Linked DNA regions of Mus musculus: all the other regions are reported to be linked to region 1. Evidence: microRNA targets listed by miRTarBase, many of them from high-throughput screens and not tested one by one. Region 1 holds a microRNA gene; each other region holds the end of a gene's coding sequence.

What was found. Region 1 holds the annotated microRNA mmu-miR-20b-5p (CAAAGUGCUCAUAGUGCAGGUAG, at 833-855, opposite strand). A microRNA usually pairs through its seed, bases 2 to 8, with sites in the 3' UTR of a target mRNA and lowers its output. Matches are read on the target gene's strand: a 7mer-m8 pairs with bases 2 to 8, a 7mer-A1 pairs with bases 2 to 7 and ends in A, and an 8mer does both.
Region 2: miRTarBase lists Ago4 as a target of mmu-miR-20b-5p. Seed matches in the 3' UTR shown: 7mer-A1 at 1,367-1,373.
Region 3: the mRNA of Ppp1r3b is a reported target of mmu-miR-20b-5p. The part of its 3' UTR that is shown has no 7-base or 8-base seed match.

Annotation. Positions count from the first base shown.
Region 1 is chrX:52,741,327-52,744,581 of GRCm38, forward strand. Mir20b (microRNA 20b) reads right to left here and starts at 866; the gene lies at 787-866. Mir363 (microRNA 363) reads right to left here and starts at 441; the gene lies at 367-441. It overlaps Mir92-2 (microRNA 92-2), which reads right to left and starts at 602; the gene lies at 512-602. It overlaps Mir19b-2 (microRNA 19b-2), which reads right to left and starts at 740; the gene lies at 657-740. It also overlaps Mir18b, Mir106a and Kis2.
Region 2 is chr4:126,490,283-126,493,537 of GRCm38, reverse strand. It overlaps Ago4 (argonaute RISC catalytic subunit 4), which reads left to right. Exons shown (of 18, transcript NM_153177.3): 18 at 207-3,255. The coding sequence ends at 315. Among named protein-coding and RNA genes, the nearest start is that of Ago1, 23 kb to the right of the region's middle.
Region 3 is chr8:35,384,365-35,387,619 of GRCm38, forward strand. Ppp1r3b (protein phosphatase 1, regulatory subunit 3B) reads left to right here. Exons shown (of 2, transcript NM_001364452.1): 2 at 1-3,255. The coding sequence ends at 499. Among named protein-coding and RNA genes, the nearest start is that of Ppp1r3b, 9.3 kb to the left of the region's middle.

The sequences.
Region 1 (3,255 bases):
TTTTTCAGACTTATATATCAGCTTTATTTTGCAAATTTCAGGTTTGTTTACATTCAGTGCAATCAAAATGTCAGGATTTCAAATATATTTAAAAATATGTAGTTTTAAAAAATTAGACTCCAAGCTGGGCGTGGTGGCGCACGCCTTTGATCCCAGCACTTGGGAGGCAGAGGCAGGCAGATTTCTGAGTTCGAGGCCACCCTGAGTGAGTTCCAGGACAGCCAGGGCTATACAGAGAAACTCTGTCTTGAAAAACCAAAAAAAAAAAAAAAAAATCCACTCCAAATGTGTTCAAAGCAATGACTAGCTAAAGGATTTTACAATCTTACTATAGCACTGATAGACGGCTGTCCACATAGGTCCTGCGGTTTACAGATGGATACCGTGCAATTTTCCTCCTATTACACCAACCAAAATTGCATCGTGTTCCACCTGATAACAGCAAAACAGTTCATTTCATAATTACAGTCTAACATAACTTACAATACTCAGAAACTAAAAGACGATTAAAAACCCTCTTTCTTCCTCAGGCCGGGACAAGTGCAATACTTTATATCTAACACAAGTAATGCCACCAATCCCCACCTGTGGATGAATGGGCATGGATGCTGAAGATGTGCATAAAGGTGTCCATTACGATGCAGAAAGGTACACATTCCCACAATCAGTTTTGCATGGATTTGCACAGCCATATATTCACATATACGCTGAACTGCAAATCTGCAAAACTAATCGTAAGTAGCAATGTCCTTGCGCTGTAGTTGCTTCAACAAGACCTTGGTTGATCCAGGAGTACTAGAAGTGCTCACACTGCAGTAGAGTGGTATAAAAACTACCTGCACTATGAGCACTTTGGCACTACTAGGATCCGAGCTTGTTCTTCTACACAACTGTATACTACAGTCTCCGCCATCTGTTTCTCGGCGAAACACTGAAAGAGCCTTTGAAACTTGTGCCGTTCAAATCATTTCTCAAGATATGCTTTTCAAATGCAAGGTAAGAAGTAGCCTGTGCGAGAAGGGGCATTTAGGGCAGTAGATTGTAAGCTGCTTCACTAACAGCACTAGATGCACCTTAACACAAGAGACACATTACAAGGAGCAGCTCAAAAACATCCACAATCTAACTATGCAGAAACCAGGGGACTCAGCGGCCTCTGATTAAATCACCATGGTAATGTAAGAAGTGCTGGCACTGCAGTAGAACTCAAAAAGCTACCTGCACTGTTAGCACTTTGACATGGCCAAGGCATACTCCAGGAGTGTAACCTTGAAGTCTTCCACGAACTCTTCTTTGCCAGATCTGCAGACTCACCTGGATAAACACACACACACACACACAGCAAGTAAGTGAACTGTGAGTTACTATTTCTAAAACAAGTTTGCCTTCCGTTAAGAGTGCAAATGGGGTTGTGTTACTTCAAACATTAATAAGCTCAATTATTTACACAGACTTAAACATGAATAACACTGGCAATCTCAGAATGTCTGACTCTTAAGAGTAAGAGGATTTTGGACTCCCTCTCCGTCTAAGGAAATTTGAGATTCGCATCCCAGAAAATTTGCAGAGCTGTAATATCCACCATGGTTTTCTAAGAGGCAAGAGCCCAGGAAAAGATGTAAGCAAAAAAATAAATAAATAACATTAGGGTGAGTACTGACGTCTTGAGCTCATCCAGAGCTTTGGGGAGCCACTCGGAAGGTCTCTATGTTTGATTACATGAAGCATCCCTGCCCCCAGCCCATTAAGAGAAAATGATAGAAATTTCAGAGCCGCTTTAAGAAACAGTTTTACACTCTTCACATACCGCACAGATGGCCTAGAGATGTCACATTTTCATCTATTTCAAAGGGCTCTACTTCTGTTTAAACATTTATGGACCCATTTTCTCCATTAAACCTAAAGAAGTCAGATTAGCTCTTTGGCTTCATGTCATTATCTTCCACAGGAAAAACCTCTCTCATTTCCAAGTGTGTATCTTACCCAGGAAAATGCTGCAGAGGACAGTCTGAGGGGTCACGAGCTCCCTCCCTCCCATGATGGAATGTTTGTGTTGATGGGGGGACACCAATAAACTTCAGGGACACAAAACTTGAAATGTGTTCAATGAGAAAGGATATTTTAAATGTTGGAACTTTTCGAAGCCACTTAGTGACTAAGATAGTTCTTAAAACATTTTAAATATAAATTAGCAAAACTTTTGAAGTAAATATGAAATCTGCTTCCTATAGTGCAAGTATTGGCTTATTATACTTTTCTTCTTGAACTGGGTTCCTACAACTAGAGATTTTTGCCTCCACTAAAAATATATTACAAAACCTGACTCAACTTCGCAAAACCATACCTCAGCCCTCCAGAGAAAGCTCCTTCTAGCTAATACCTTTCTTTAACACATCTGCTCTCCATCATATATACTAGAAAGTCGCTGTACAACTTCTAAAATTGCAAAGAGGACCCAGTCTTTTACCATTTCGGGATTTTCTCTGGTCTATTCCCGCATCTTCAGCAGCGGCTCCAGTAGAGATCTGTGAACCTCCTGGGAACGCAGGGTGTGCTCCAGCCAGTCATGCCACGCGCTTAGGTCTTCAAGACACCTTAGCGGCCACCAAAATTAAACAGAAAGAAACAAAGCATTATGGGAAACGGAGTTCTCCATTCAAAGCCCCCAAAACGCGCCAAGCTTAAGCCTCTCCCTCCATTCTCGGGTTGGTGGGAGGGAAACCAAGGTAGGTCGGGAGTCCTCCCGCCCCACACCCCACGTGCACCCTGGCATTTGACCACCCACAAGTTCTCCAGAAACCTTCAGAGCAACAAGGGAGAGTCCTTTTCTCACGAGTTGCCTGGCACCCCTCAACTACACTCAGGTACTTTGCTTTTCTCAAGTCTTGCCAGCTCCATCCCCTCCCACCTTAGTTAACTCTCTGGGATCACAGCTGCGCCCGCGGAGGTACGCATCTCCTGGTCCAGTCATCCAGAACAAGCGCGTAGGGGATCTGCCAGTGACCCGCCCTGGCAGGTGGCGCGCGCGACCATCCCGCTGCTGTCCTGCCTGCCAGGATCAGGGAACCGCACGCATCTTCCTAGAGCTCCTGGCCCTCTGCTCTCCTAGCTGGTGGAGGAGGGAGGGCGGCGAGGAGCCACGTGCAGGAAACGCGCCCCGGCGGCCCACGCACACCTAACCCCCAAAGTGTCCGCGCAGCACCACTTGTGCACACGAGCCTGTGGCAGCGGTCCGTCACCTCGAGCTGCGTCCCA
Region 2 (3,255 bases), not on the chromosome of region 1:
CATTAATTACTTATTGCAACCACCCATTAAATAAGCTGTACTGTACTTTTCAGTTGAACCAACGTGTCTAAGGAAACAAATTGTTTGAGTAGCCCAGGCTTCAGCCAAGATGTTCTTGAATACAAGACTGTTTGTGCTCTTTGAAATACTGAAGTTTCAAGTTGTCCTCTGCTAATGCCCGGTTTCTTGTTTTGTTTTCATTACAGTGCGGAAGGCAGTCACGTGTCAGGACAGAGCAACGGCCGGGATCCTCAGGCCTTGGCTAAGGCTGTGCAGATCCACCATGATACCCAGCACACTATGTATTTTGCCTGAGAGTCTTGGAAAAGAACTCAACAAATTTGGCATCTCACGCATCCTCAAAATGTTTCCGACGCCTACTGCCTCTCTCAGGTGGTCCCTACCAGCAGCTCAGAATGGTTGCACTGAGTCTACTCTGCAGCCCTGTCTGATACATCAACAAAATTGAGCCAGTTGGGTTTTTTTGTTAAAGAAATAGATACTCATAGATTGTGTTTTCTGATGCACTGGGCAGAATTTTTACCTCAACGTGCAAAGGCTGATCAGCCTTGACTTTCTAAAGGACTTTCCAAGAAGGGTTTCTATGGAATCTTTTGCTAGCTGTGGTATTCACCGCATCTAGTCTTATAAGAGGAGTATTTCCTTTTTTCTGTGTTTATTGAATGGTGTGCATAAGTGGGAGAGAGAAACCAAACGGCCTGTATCATTTCCATGTAACTTTTTAATTGGGTGGGTCCATAGACCTCTTACTTCTGACTTTGCCACTGTCAATGCCTTTAAGGAGCATCAGCTTTTGAAAGTTTTACAGAACTCTGTTACCTTCACTGTTCTACTGATCTCTTCGGGCCTGCACTGTGGGGTACAGGCTGCCCAGCAATTGCACTATATTTGGCTGCAGATTCGAACAGGCAGTTCCCTTACTTGACTGGCTTTTGTGAGTCTGTGACATAAGCAGATGTGATGTGTGTCACAGGGACAGATACACTGCCGTGGTAAAAAGTACCCATGTTTTCCATATTTGGAAAAAGAGAATTAGCTTTTAGTATTTTTCCACATCTTCAAACATGCCCATTTTATGCTGCTGTGTGGTATGCTAGATCTAAACGATCTTTAAACTTCTCTCATAGAAAGTTAACTTTGGCAATAAGCATTTGTAAGGCCCTTGCCCTTTCTCCTGACGTCGTTTTCTAGATGAGATTTCAGTATGATTTTATCAACTATTTCTTACATATCATAACTGGGATATTCTGAAACCAGTTTATAAAGACACAGATTTCAATGTCCTTATAAATAATTGTTTTTAAAACAAAACAAAACAAAACTTATTTTATAGTCAGTGTCCTGTCACTTTAAAAAAAAAAAAAAGAAGCTGGAACCAGGATGCTTTGTGATCGGTCAGGCTTTGCCGATGCATAAGGCACATTGAGCAGTACTGCACTTGAAAAGAAAGTACCAGCCAGTGAAAACCTGGTTTCCCTGGGAATCAGGGGTGCACACACGGCTGCCTACAAGACAGCCTGAAATGTGCTTGGTGGCTCTGCCTTTCTCTTTTTCAACTAAAACTCTGTAGAAGTTGTTGTTGTTGTTGTTGTTTTTCTTTTTCTGTAACAGATTCTAGATTCCCTCACAGGAAGACAGGATTCCGTTTCTTGTCCAAACAAAGGGAATTGATGTAAAGCAAGAACAGTTAGAACATAGGGAAAATGTATTCTGTATTTAGTGTAGATAATACCTTGTAAAGGACAAGTGTTACATAGTCAAGGTAGTTGCACCCACGGTTTCCAGCCCATGTTTTACTCTAACCTGGAAGGTCAAGGAGTAAAAGGTAAGAGGCTCTCTGTAGAGCCACACTCCTCATGGCTGAGGAGGGTGCTGGGGAAGGAAGAGACAGGCACAATATGCTAAAAGCAATTTTGCAGTCTCGGTGTAGAAACCATTGGTGGGAAACACTGGATCAAATGGGAAAGGGTGTTTGCTTGAACTCATTAATTGGTCCAAGGTTCAAATCTGTTAAATGGGCCCTCTCAGAATCCCAGCAATAGAAAGCACTGTTTCCCTTCAGTGGCTTCAGCAAGTGTGTAGATACATTCATGTTTACATTTCTGTGTGCAGTCGCTCAGCAGTGCCACTGGTGTTTGCTGAGCCTGGTCTCCGAGAGAGTTTATAATGTCCGTCTAGTCCTATAGCACATGCGGATGGGTGCAGACATCTTTAATCTCTGCAGACAGTGGGAAAAGCAAGTCCTGTGACTGAAGCACAACACAGGCGTGAAGCGACAGCAGACGTCCGTTCCCTGAGATCTTCCTTTTTTTCTGCAAATACCTCCCTGGGATAATACAAATCCAGACATGTTGATGAATGGCTGACTGCCGCTTTTATTCACACCTGTTCAGGGAAAGCACAGAAAATGCTCTGTAGCACAGACATTCTGGACCCAAGAGGAGGGGGAACAAAGGAAGCCTTTTTAGGAAAAGGAAAACTTGCCTGGAGTCTGTGATGTGAAGAACTCTCGGTGGCTGGCAGCTGACAGAAGGCACCGTACCTGCACAGGAGCGCCTCGGGCTTGCTTGTTGACAATGCACAGAAGAGACTCTAGCCATCTTCCGACAGGATGGAACAGTGAGCGAGCTGTGTGCCCGGAAGCCCCATCCACGGTCCTGCAACTGAGTTGTAGGTTTGCCCATGAGCGATATGCCTGAAACACCACTGCCGGTCCTAGTATGCTGGGGTGAATCCGTGTGGAGCTGGAGGAAAAGCCAGGAGACCAACTTTTGTAGAAAAAACGGTATCAATAAGTGTGTGAAGCCGTTGTTCTGGGCAAGTGGAAAGAAATATGGAAGAGTTAGGATTACTTGGGGGAGGGGAACTTGCTGAGGGGTGAACAGTCCAGAGGTGATCACTTGAGAATCAGAACTGCAGTAATACCACCGTAAGCAAATCTGAATGCATAGTTTTAACTTAACTGGGGTTGACAATTCAAATAGGTACCTCCCCCCACCCCCCCAAACAAAAACCTGACTGAGTTGTTATGCATGTGTCAATCACTGGGAGGTGTGCATTCTCTAGTAGTGTTAGGCTGTTTGGTTCTTTTAAATGCAGCCTATTTAGGTACTGTCATGTAGTGTGGAAGATTTTGGTGCGGCAACTCTAAAGAATGACATTTTTGGGGCTAGGGAGCATAGGACATTAAGAACGGGAAAGACCCAAGTGTTGAACCAATTGTGTTTTTTTGTT
Region 3 (3,255 bases), not on the chromosome of region 1:
TTACTTAGACTTCAGAAATCGCCTTCAGACCAACCACGTCTGCCTAGAAAACTGTGTGCTGAAGGATAAGGCCATCGCGGGCACCGTGAAGGTCCAGAACCTGGCCTTCGAGAAGGTTGTGAAGATCAGGATGACATTTGACACCTGGAAAAGCTTCACAGATTTCCCTTGTCAGTATGTGAAGGACACTTACGCTGGTTCAGACAGGGACACATTCTCCTTTGACATCAGCTTACCCGAGAAAATTCAGTCTTACGAAAGAATGGAGTTTGCCGTGTGCTACGAGTGTAACGGCCAGGCGTACTGGGACAGCAACAAAGGCAAAAACTACAGGATCACCCGGGCTGAACTCCGATCCTCTCCGGGAAAGATTGAGCCGTACAATGGACCAGATTTTGGAATCTCTTTTGACCAGTTTGGGAGCCCTCGGTGTTCCTTTGGCCTGTTTCCAGAGTGGCCTAGTTATCTGGGATATGAAAAGCTGGGGCCCTACTACTAGTGACTGCAGGTGACAGTCCGTGGCTCAGATCAAGATGGAGGCGAGAGAACGGAAGGCCAGAGGAAAGTTGAACTGCCACTAGGCGTGGTTTTTGAAAAGACAGGCTCCTGTTCACCTTTTTCTTAAACCAGCAAGTCCAGCGTGTTTCCATCACACCCGGTTTCTTGCTCAGAGGAGTGGAGCGGTGCTGATCCTCTGTGGCATCCGGGTTGGCCACAAGGGAATGCGCAGGATGGTGCCAGAAGGGTCTGGAGAGGAGCCAAGCTGGCAAGGACAGAGGAAGCTGGCCTCTCTTCCACACTTGGACTCTGAAAGTCACCCAGAAACCAATCTCCAGCCTTACCATTGACCTCGAGGTCCTGTCCCCGCTCATGGCTTTCCATGCGTCTCCTTCATTCCACGAGTACTCCGAAGGGAGCCACCTCAGTTCTGGGACACACTGGCCTGATTGATACCCAGCAGCCTCAGAAGAGGGCCGGGGGCGGGCGCTTTCTGTGCGAGCTCTTTCACTACACTTCCTCCCGCTACAGTCTATCCAGTGATCTGGACAAGAGAGACAAAGCAAATAAGTAGCTCGTGTCTGGGATAGGCATTCCCTCCCCCCTCTCTCCTCCTGACCCCTCCTTTATATTCCAGAAGAGAGCAACATATTAGTTACTAGAAAGTCATTGGTTCCCATGTGGGGTCACAGGGTACAGCACTGGGACAAGGTGGGACAGTCTGAACTTTTAGCTTTTCCTCTTGGATGTTGGGGGAGCTTTTGAAGCACCGTTTCACCCGGAGTTACCAGAAGAGGACTCAATGACAAGATGCATTTCCACTTGCCTGGCCGGTGTGTGTGAACTGTTTGTGTTTGAAGAGAGTCATAGCTCTCATGTCTCCTGGAGCCTCCACTTCAGTGCCTTGTCTGAGGCTTTCAAATAGCAAGACTGGCATCTCCTCGAGTCCTCCAGACTGTGCTTAGATATATATTCATATTCAGGATGCTTTATGAACCCCCAAGGACATTGATCGGGTGTTTTTATTTATGGTGTGTATTATAAAAAGATAGGGGAGAAAAACCTCACGTTTTTCTATGTTATTTTAAATGTTTGTCAACTCTGAGGTATCAGATGAAGTTTTCTTAACCATATTGGAGTGCAATGCGCTTTCATACGCTAGCGTGAGACTCCTGGAGTTCTTACCCTTGGGTGAACCCCCAAACCCTGTGATTTTTCTCTAGGGCAAATTAGAATTATAGGGGAGATTTTTTTAAATGCGAGTTTGTAGAATTAGGGGTGTTGTTTTGTTTTGGAAGTTTGATAAAAGATGCCTGTTTCATTTCCTTACTGAAGTGATGTTTCCCTGAGACAAGACAGAAAGGAGCAGAGTCTCATGGTTTCGGAGGTGGGGGCCACTGGACGTAGCCCTGTGCCCTCTGGCTTTATAAGTTAGCATCAGGCAGACATCAAATGTTTTTAATCCTAGCATGTGTGGTTTATTTTTTATCTTAACTTTTTCACTTTTGAAGATTCAAATGTTTTGACTTTTTAAATGTTATTTTCTATGATTTCTTATTCCTAAAACTGGTACTAGTCTGTAATCTGTGCTTTGTATATTGTGCCTCTCCCAGATGGGTGGCGATCTGGGATTGCATGCTGATTATCTGTGAGGAAATCATCTTTGTGCCATGAGGCTGAAGCTGGGGCCAGGAGTTTGTGTTTTATCTAAGCAGGCCATGTATCTCCTAGATGGGTGTACTTTAAATGTTCCGGATTTGTTGACCAGAGCAGCTAGGTTGAAATTGGATAGAAAGCAAAACTGCTCTCTATGGGTCATGCATTGTGTGTTAAGAAGGAAGGCAGCCAAGGGCACTGTTTCTTACATAGATGCAGACTAAAGATCATAAAATGGCTGGGGGCGGGGGCGAGGTACGGAATGGAATCTGTTCAGTGGTATGGATGATCTTCAGACATTCCGAGTCAAAATATAAAATATGGTAATTCCATGTTATATGTCCCTCCTAAAGCAGACATACCCTCACCCCCTTTTGCCCAGATTTGCCCCAGCTTTCTTGCTCACGAGCACTGCTTGAAAGCCCCCCAGCCAGCACACCTGGGGTGCACACCCACTGCTCAGCTCCAGGGGCATGTTGTGCCTTTGCCTGCTCACCAGGACCCTTCCCTTGAAGCAGTCCGTGGGCTGTGCTTGACTTCCTTATCAAGGCTGTCACTCAGAGACAGAAGAGTCTTCCTTCTGCTTTCTGCCTCCAATACAGCCCTCCTTCTTTTGACCCAGTCTGTCCCATGACTCTGAGATAGCCTCGGGAGCTGCATTTAGAAACTCTATGCATTGTTCAGAGTTCACCACTGTAGACAAATTTACGCAGCTCAGAAGACGACAGGCCCCTTGCTTGAAGATCCCACGGCAAGTTTGACCTGGAGGTCTGTCTTCATGCAGTTCTTGGCTAGGATGATGGATGGATCCTAATCCCCAGACATTGTGATCCAGGAAGGGAAGGCAACCCCATTCTTTGTTCCATATTTATTTCCCCAAATTCCCTGGGGTGCTTTGGCAAAATGGGTACAATAAATAAGCTAGACCATAAGACATGTTTCTTGTAAGAAGCCGTTTGAGTGTTGTAAGAATATTTTCTCTAGAAAGCTAGGAAGGCATAATGGAAGTCTGTAGTTCTGCAGAAACTAAAGCAACTTGAGTCAATGGTGGGAGTTATTTTATCCCTGAGATGTAAGCTTGGTGGCTCCTGATTCTGGGAA